Linked DNA regions of Callithrix jacchus. The protein of the gene in region 1 binds, or shares a complex with, the protein of each later gene. Links are inferred from orthologs where the notes say so. Each region holds a gene or a part of one and is shown on either strand. Other genes may lie near its edges.

Region 1 (4,215 bases):
AACACTCCACGTGCCCATATCCAAGATCCTGGGGACCCTGCTGTTCATTGCCATCCCCATAGCAGTGGGTGTGCTCATCAAATCCAAGCTCCCCAAGTTCTCCCAACTGCTGCTGCAGGTCATCAAGCCCTTCAGTTTTGTGCTCCTCCTGGGCGGCCTCTTCCTGGCCTATCGCATGGGGGTCTTCATCCTGGCAGGCGTCAGGCTACCCATCGTGCTGGTGGGTATCACGGTGCCCCTGGTTGGCCTGTTGGTGGGCTACTGCTTGGCCACGTGTCTGAGGCTGCCAGTGGCCCAGCGGCGGACAGTCAGCATTGAGGTAGGGGTGCAGAACAGCCTGCTGGCCTTGGCCATGCTACAGCTATCCCTCCGCCGCCTTCAGGCTGACTATGCCTCCCAGGCCCCCTTCATTGTGGCACTGAGTGGCACCTCTGAGATGCTGGCCTTGGTCATCGGCCACTTCATCTACAGCAGCCTGTTCCCAGTTCCCTGAGGCCTCTGGGTCAAGCTTTCGTCAGTCCCAGCCTCCACACTCCACCTACTGTCCCCAGAGTTCTTGTGTACCAAAGGCCTTTAGTTCTCATGCACTATGCACTCAGAAAAATCCAGGCTTATTTTTTTTACTGATTTTTTTATTCTCCAGCTTTCAGTGCCAAGGAGGCCATGCTGAGTTAGGTAGGTGGGCACTGCCCCAAAAATATATTTCAATAAAAGACAGAAGCAAGCTTGGGTCCCTTCCAATCTTTGCCCTTTGGTGCCTGGGCTTGGGGGTAGAGTGTGCTGGGTAGGTGTGGACCAGGGTGGAGGACCAGCTTGGATGACACGGTGACCCATGCACAGGCTTTCTCTATCAGCCCTCCCCAGGAATGTCCCCATTCTGGGAGAGGTGGGAGGATGAGAGCAGAGGCCTGGCTCCCCTGCCCGCTCTCAAACTCGGTGGGGTGTTTTGCAGCCAGACCAGAAAGGAGGAGGCAGAAACCCAGCGGGCAGGGGGTGGGGGCGGGCCGTCTGTGGGTTTGCAGGGCCCGGCTCCGCCAGCTGTCAGGATATGTGGGGTGGTTCAGGCCATCCGCGGGGGCGAGCGTAACTCTTGGCCCTTCCTTCTCCATGCCCCAGCTCCTACATGACGCCAACCTGACCCGACGGGTTCTAGCTCCCAAATTCCCCGCACTGTGGCTTTGGGAAGGGTCCGCCGGCTAGGGCAGTCGCTGCGCGTTTGCGAGGCGGAACCCCAGGGGGACTCCTCCTCCCGGGGCGCAATTGGGGTGGGGGGCGTGAACGGGACAGGAGGGCGGGGCCGGGAAGCGCGGGCGGCGGGCGCGCCCCTCTTGCTGCTTCCGGCGGCAGCGGGTGGATCCGGCGCGCGACCGGGGCGGCGGCGCGCGGCGGGGGGTGGTTGGGGTGCGCGCCCGCCCGAGTGGACGCCGCCGCGGCCGCCATGCAGCTGACGGTGAAGGCGCTGCAGGGCCGCGACTGCAGCCTGCAGGTAGGGTCCCGGGGCCGGGCTGCCGGGCCCGTCAGTCGCCCGCCCCTAACAGGAGGACCGCCAGGGCCGAGGGCGGGCACGGGGCGGCCGGGCCGGGGGCTGGTAGCCGAGAGAGCCGCCCTCGGTAGCGGACGCGTGGGCTTCGTCGACCGAGGGCCGCGGGCTCAATCCCTGCCTCCCACCCTCGGCGCGGCCAGGTGCCGGAGGACGAGCTGGTGTCCACGCTGAAGCAGCTGGTCTCAGAGAAGCTGAACGTCCCCGTGCGCCAGCAGCGGCTGCTCTTCAAGGGCAAGGCCCTGGCAGGTACCCAGGGAGAGGAGACGCCCAGGGAGCCCCGCAGGAAGCGGGGCCAGGGTGCTCTGGCCGCCTCGGCAGCCGTGTGACGGGTCGGGGTGCCGGCGCCCAGCGCCACTTGACTCCAGGGTAGACGACCGCATGCTGCAAAGCTGAATCCCGCAGCCCGAAGCGGCCTCGTGTCCTGGGCCACCCCCACGGCGGCAGGGAGAAACTCATCGATCTGTCTTTGGCAGATGGGAAACGACTCTCGGATTATAGCATCGGGCCCAACTCCAAGCTCAACCTAGTGGTCAAACCCCTGGAGAAGGTGCTACTAGAAGAAGGCACTGGCCGGAGACTGGCCGACTCCCCACCCCCGCAGGTCTGGCAGCTGATCTCCAAAGTCTTGGCCCGTCACTTCAGCGCGGCAGATGCCAGCAGGGTCCTGGAACAGCTACAGAGGGTGAGAAGGGCAACCCTGGACATCCTTTCTAGGCCCAGCTGCTCCCAGCCCCCCACTGCCATCCCCTGAATCTTCCTGCCTTTCTCTCCCCAGGATTACGAGAGGTCCCTGAGCCGCCTGACACTGGACGACATCGAACGATTGGCTGGCCGTTTCCTGCATCCAGAAGTGACTGAGACGATGGAGAAGGGCTTCTCCAAATAGCATTCTCAGAGCATAGGGAGGTGCCCAACGCCAGGCCACGGCTGAACATCACACAACGTGTGTTCAGTTGCAGTTGGGCTCATAATAATAGCTGGCAGGTACCTGGCTCTGGCCAGGTGCTAGGCACCACTCACAGCTTGACCTGGGTTTGCTTCCACACCCTTGGAAGAGGAGAGCCAGCACAGCGGGGGCGACGCAGGGGAGGAGCCCCAGTTGGAGTCCAGCAGCTTCTGAAAGTGCCTTGATGTGACAAGGAGGAAGGGGCTGCTTGGAGAGCTGAGCTCACTTGTCATATTTAGCCCACTGAGAATATACACTCAAGCAACTCCTTCCCAAGCCTGAAAGGGGAAGCAGTTGTCACCTGACTTCTGGCGGGTCCAGCATTAACCCTCAGCTCACTGCTGCAGGAGGCCAAGTTGCAGCCAGCCCTGGATCCCCCAGCTGCTACAGCTAGTGAGCGTTCTACAAATGGAAAAGCAGGTTGGGGCCAGGGAGTGAGAAAGTCACCCCAGCTCTGTGATATGACTTTGGGCAAGTCTCAGTGCCACTTTGGTCCCCCGCCACAGACTCTATAGGGTGAGGGCCACTTCCTGATCTGAGTCAGTGTTCTCCGCCCTTACCCCAGCCCAGGGTGGGGAGTGTTAACAGTGCTCTTCTCCCTTCTGTTCAATAAACGAACTGAAGTCAAAAGCAAAGCATGGCCAAGTGTGACCCAGAGATGGGTGTCCTGGCCTTTGGTGACACAGCTCTTCTCTGGGGCACCCTGTCTGCTTGTCTCCTCCTCCAGGAAGCATTAGGGCTGATGGGTGACTCAGAAAGGCAGTGTCAGAGCTGGGACTGGTGTAGGCATTTATCCTCATCCCCAGCATTTGCCACCATGTGGAAGACGAATACATCCCAGCCATCTGTGTGCGGGGGCTTACTTCGTATGCTCCTTATTGCCTGAGAGGAAACCTTGGGGTGCCAAGGCAGGGGCAGAAGCATGGGCTGGGTTCCAGTTCCTCCTCCACCCTGCCCTGCGCATGGGCACTAGAGGACATTGAAGTGCCTGCTCCTTGGAGGAGGCCCCCAGGGGTGGTAGAGGCTGGAAGGAAGCCACAGGCAGGAAGACACCACTCCAGCCCCTCCACCCTTGCCAAGGGAGCAGCTCAGTGTGGTCAGGGCTGCACGTGCTGGAGACCCTCCTGCCTGGGCCTTGTGGGCCAAATATTGGGTCCCCAGGCTGGAAATATGGGCAGAGGCCGAATGAGTGAAGGCTCTGAAGAGCACACAAAAGCCCCTGGCCACCCACGAGAGCTGGAAAGCCATGTATGTGGCTTCAAAGCCATATGTGGAGGGACATGCTTGTGAGCATGTGTGGCCTGCAGCTCAGGTGATACATTTACCAGGGTTCTTGTTTGGTGCCAGGAAATTAATTTTGGAAAGTGAAATAACATTAAAGGTGAACGTGAAACTTCTACTTTTATCCAAAGGAGCTATATTAGCTAGGCTGCTTCTGGTATCCAATAATTGGTTTAAAAATAAAGGCAATTTGTTGAATCAGTACAGGAAATTTCTTGACTTAATGAAAGGAAAAGTCCAGTGGTGTTGGCATTGGCAGCAGGTGAGCAATTTCACCCAGTGTCTTCCTGCCTCCCTCTGCGTTCGTATCTGCTTCATCCCAGGCCATCACCTCCAAGGATGAAAAGATGGCTGCCTGCAGCTTGCATGGAATCCCTGCCTCACTGCCAGATGCCCCAGCAAATAAACACTCTTCTCATTGGTCACAACTGGACTGTGTGTCCAA
Region 2 (3,500 bases), on another chromosome or scaffold:
AGCTCTGGGAGCTTGGAGAAAGAAGGTGCTGTGTGGCTGCGTGGCTGCTTGGCTGCGTGGCTTTCGCTCTTCGCTGTTTTTGTTATTTGGTGGTGTGTGGGGTGTGGACTGGCTGAGTCCCTGTGGTGGCACCTCTGCCTACGGGGCTCTCCATGGGCTCTTCTCATGGGCAGGTGGGATAGAATTAACATGGATGCATCTTTCCCCATCTCCTGTGCTATATTATATTCATGAAGCATATTTGAGTTTTTCTGTCTTTTCTTTGCAGAACAAAACTATTGTGAGTCACGGTATCATTTTCTGCACTCAGCGGACGGGGAGGGCTGTGCCAACATGCTGGTGGAGTACTCCACATCCCGGGGCTTCCGCAGCGAGGTGGACATGTTTGTGGCCCAGGCCGTGCTACAGTAGGTGTCGGATGGCTCTACGGGTTCTGGCTTCCCTTGCTGCCTTGTCCCCGGCCCGAGCCGTGGTGCAGCGTAAACTGAGTTCACTCCGGGCAGAACCTGCAGTGCACGTGTCAGCCAGAGTGACTCATGAATTTTAATAAGTTTTATGAAGTTTAAGAAGTATTTTGGAATCTCCCCCTTTTCTGCGGTGCACCTCTCACCTGCTGCCGGGAGGCCCTGTAACCTCTGCTCTATTCCGGCCGGCCTCAGCCTGTGAACTGTGGGAATGCACTCCCAGTTCTTAGAATTGTCAGTGAGTCATCTACCCTGCAGCCCTCCCGCCAGCACACTGGGGCATCCTGCAGGCTGAGCTTGGGCACTCGCTTCCTTTCTCATGAAAGCCTTATGTGTGCCCAAGTCCATTTCTTCCACAAAACAAATGTGAATTTCTAGGCGGGCGTTGGGGTAGGACTGGCTTTGTGGATTTGATGTGGGATTTGGGGACAGTCATCCTCTGACCTCAGTGCTGCCCACTGCTGAGCTCTCCCAGGAGGGCGTCCGTGACTTAAATGAAAAGCTGGGTCAAACCCAGAGCTCACTGGCTCTGCACTGCGTAGATGTGTTCTCTGGATTGATGGTAGCCCGCCCCTGGGCCACTGAGCCCTCTCTGTAGGCCCTCCTCAAACTGGAGCCAGGGTCTGCGTAGCACCCGCCAGCTGCTGGGCTGTGGCCAAGTGTTCTGGTGTGGGCCATCATCTGATGGGTGCGGGCAACGGGGGAGAGAAGAGCTCACTCAGTGCATTATTCAGATGGGGCTCAAGCTGGGTTCTGGCTCCGGAGCCTTATGACCTTCTCAAGCTTCATTCTCTTCACCTATAAATTGCTGGCCTCCCCAGGATCCCCTGCTTGTGAGAGCGACACGCATGAAGCACTGGGTCCCTCCATGCTGGGGGCTGTGAGACCCGTGGGTGTGTGAGCTTGGGAAGGACCAGGGCATGTCAGAGGCTGGTGCCTGCGCGGGTGGAAAATGTGTCCTCCAGCCTTTCCTCCACCAGCATGTTCTCATTTCCAGGTTTCTGTGTTTAAAAAACAAAAGTAGTGCATCTGTGGTCTTCACGACGTACACCCAGAAGCACCCGTCCATCGAGGATGGGCCTCCGTTCGTGGAGCCGCTGCTCAACTTCATCTGGTTCCTGCTGCTGGCTGTGGATGGGTGCGTCTCAGTATTCTGGGGGTGTACGTTGTATGTCGATGTGGTGGCGTGGGTAGCTGGGGGGGTGTGTGCACGCAGGTGTTGGGTGTCAATGTGATGAGTGCAGATGTTGATGTGTGGGGGTGGGTGGGTATAGCTGTGGCATGGGTAGTTGTGTGGGGGGTGTGTGTTGTAGACTTGGTGGTGTAGGTAGCTGTGGGTGTGTGTAGGTGTGTTGGTTGTAACATGGTGTAGGTAGCTGTGTGGGTGTGTGTAGGTGTGCTGGTTGTAGACATGGCGTAGGTAGCTGTGTGGGTTGGTGTGAGTGTGCTGGTTGTAGACGTGGTGTAGGTAGCTGTGTGGGTGTGTGTAGGTGTGCTGGTTGTAGACATGGCATAGGTAGCTGAGTGGGTGTAGGTATGCTGGTTGTAGACATGGCGTAGGTAGCAGCGGTTGGGTGTATATGTGCTGGTTGTAGACATGGCATAGGTAGCTGAGTGGGTGTAGGTATGCTGGTTGTAGACATGGCGTAGGTAGATGTGTGTTGGTTGTAGACATGGCATAGGTAGCTGTGTGGGTGTAGGTATGCTGGTTGTAGACATGGCGTAGGTAGCTGTGTGGGTGTGTAGCTGTGTTGGTTGTAGACATGGCATAGGTAGCTGTGTGGGTGTAGGTGCGCTGGTTGTAGACATGGCATAGGTAGCTGAGTGGGTGTAGGTATGCTGGTTGTAGACATGGTGTAGGTAGCTGTGGGTGTGTAGCTGTGTTGGTTGTAGACATGGCATAGGTAGCTGTGGGTGTGTGTAGGTGTGTTGGTTGTAGACGCGTAGGTAGCTGTGGGTGTATAGGTGTGTTGGTTGTAGACGTGGAGTAGGTAGCTGTGGTTGTGTGTAGGTGTGCTGGTTGTAGACATGGCGTAGGTAGCTGTGTGGGTGTGTGTAGGTGTGCTGGTTGTAGACTTGGTGTAGGTAGCTGGGTGTGTGTAGGTGTGTTGGTTATAGACATGGCAGTGTAGGTAGCTGTGGGTATGTGCAGATGAGTGTTTTAGGTATAGACTTGGTGGCATGGGTTGCTGTGTGGGTGTTGGTTGTAGGCGTGGCATGGGTAACTGTGTGGGTGTGTCCAGATGAGTGTTGGGTGTAGGCATGGTAGCATGTGCAGGGGTGTGTGTGCAGGTGCGTGTTGCCATCTTCTATGGGTGTAGGCGCAGTGGTGTTACAGGTGTGTGTGTGGGTGTTGGGTGTAGACGCAGTGGTGGTGTAGGTGTGTATGTGTAGGTAAGTGTTGGGTGTAGATGTGGCAATGTGTGTAGGTGTGTGCGCAGGTGTGTGTGGCCCTCTCCTGCTCCCCCAGCATCTCCCTATGTCCCTGTGTCCCAGCGGAAAGCTGACGGTGTTCACCGTGTTATGTGAGCAGTACCAGCCATCCCTCCGGCGGGACCCGATGTACAACGAGGTGAGGGCTGGGACTGGAATGGGGAGGGGCCCTCAAGGCTGCACTGCCCTAGCTGGGACCCCACAGCCTGGGTCCGCCCTCTCCTGAACCTGCTGCCCATGCCTTGCAGTACCTCGACCGCATAGGACAGCTGTTCTTCGGTGTCCCGCCCAAGCAGACATCTTCCTACGGAGGCCTGCTCGGTAAGCTGAGGTGCCCTCGCCACTCCCACTGCAACCCTGGGTCAGTGTGGGGTCCTCTGCAGTCCTTCACGTAGCAGTGGTTCTTTGCTCTTTTCAATGTTTCTCAGTTTCCTTTTGTTAGTAGGAAATTATATTTCAGAGTTGAATCCTAGCTCAGTGCCTCCCAGCCCCGTCTCTGCTCCAGAGCTCCCCGCCCCTGAGGTTTCTCACACTTCCTGGTAGGGGTCGATTTGTGGGGCTGGCTGTGTGCTCAGAGAAACATCTGACTTGTCCGGTTTCCAG

The links.
Region 2: UBL4A (region 1) and GET4 share a complex: the UniProt entries of both Homo sapiens proteins name them as parts of the BAG6/BAT3 complex. The link is inferred for Callithrix jacchus from reciprocal best matches to the Homo sapiens genes UBL4A and GET4.

The regions. Positions count from the first base shown.
Region 1 is NC_133524.1:150,280,137-150,284,351, reverse strand, and holds UBL4A (ubiquitin-like protein 4A), read left to right. Parts: upstream 1-1,415; 5' UTR 1,416-1,438; coding exon 1,439-1,486; intron 1,487-1,683; coding exon 1,684-1,789; intron 1,790-2,016; coding exon 2,017-2,225; intron 2,226-2,318; coding exon 2,319-2,429; 3' UTR 2,430-4,198; downstream 4,199-4,215. Other genes in the region: SLC10A3 (P3 protein), read left to right, coding at 1-493. UniProt on the Homo sapiens protein: As part of a cytosolic protein quality control complex, the BAG6/BAT3 complex, maintains misfolded and hydrophobic patches-containing proteins in a soluble state and participates in their proper delivery to the endoplasmic reticulum or alternatively can promote their sorting to the proteasome where they undergo degradation.
Region 2 is NC_133503.1:58,122,329-58,125,828, reverse strand, and holds part of GET4 (Golgi to ER traffic protein 4 homolog), read left to right. Parts: intron 1-268; coding exon 269-407; intron 408-1,461; coding exon 1,462-1,602; intron 1,603-2,960; coding exon 2,961-3,036; intron 3,037-3,145; coding exon 3,146-3,218; intron 3,219-3,500. UniProt on the Homo sapiens protein: As part of a cytosolic protein quality control complex, the BAG6/BAT3 complex, maintains misfolded and hydrophobic patches-containing proteins in a soluble state and participates in their proper delivery to the endoplasmic reticulum or alternatively can promote their sorting to the proteasome where they undergo degradation.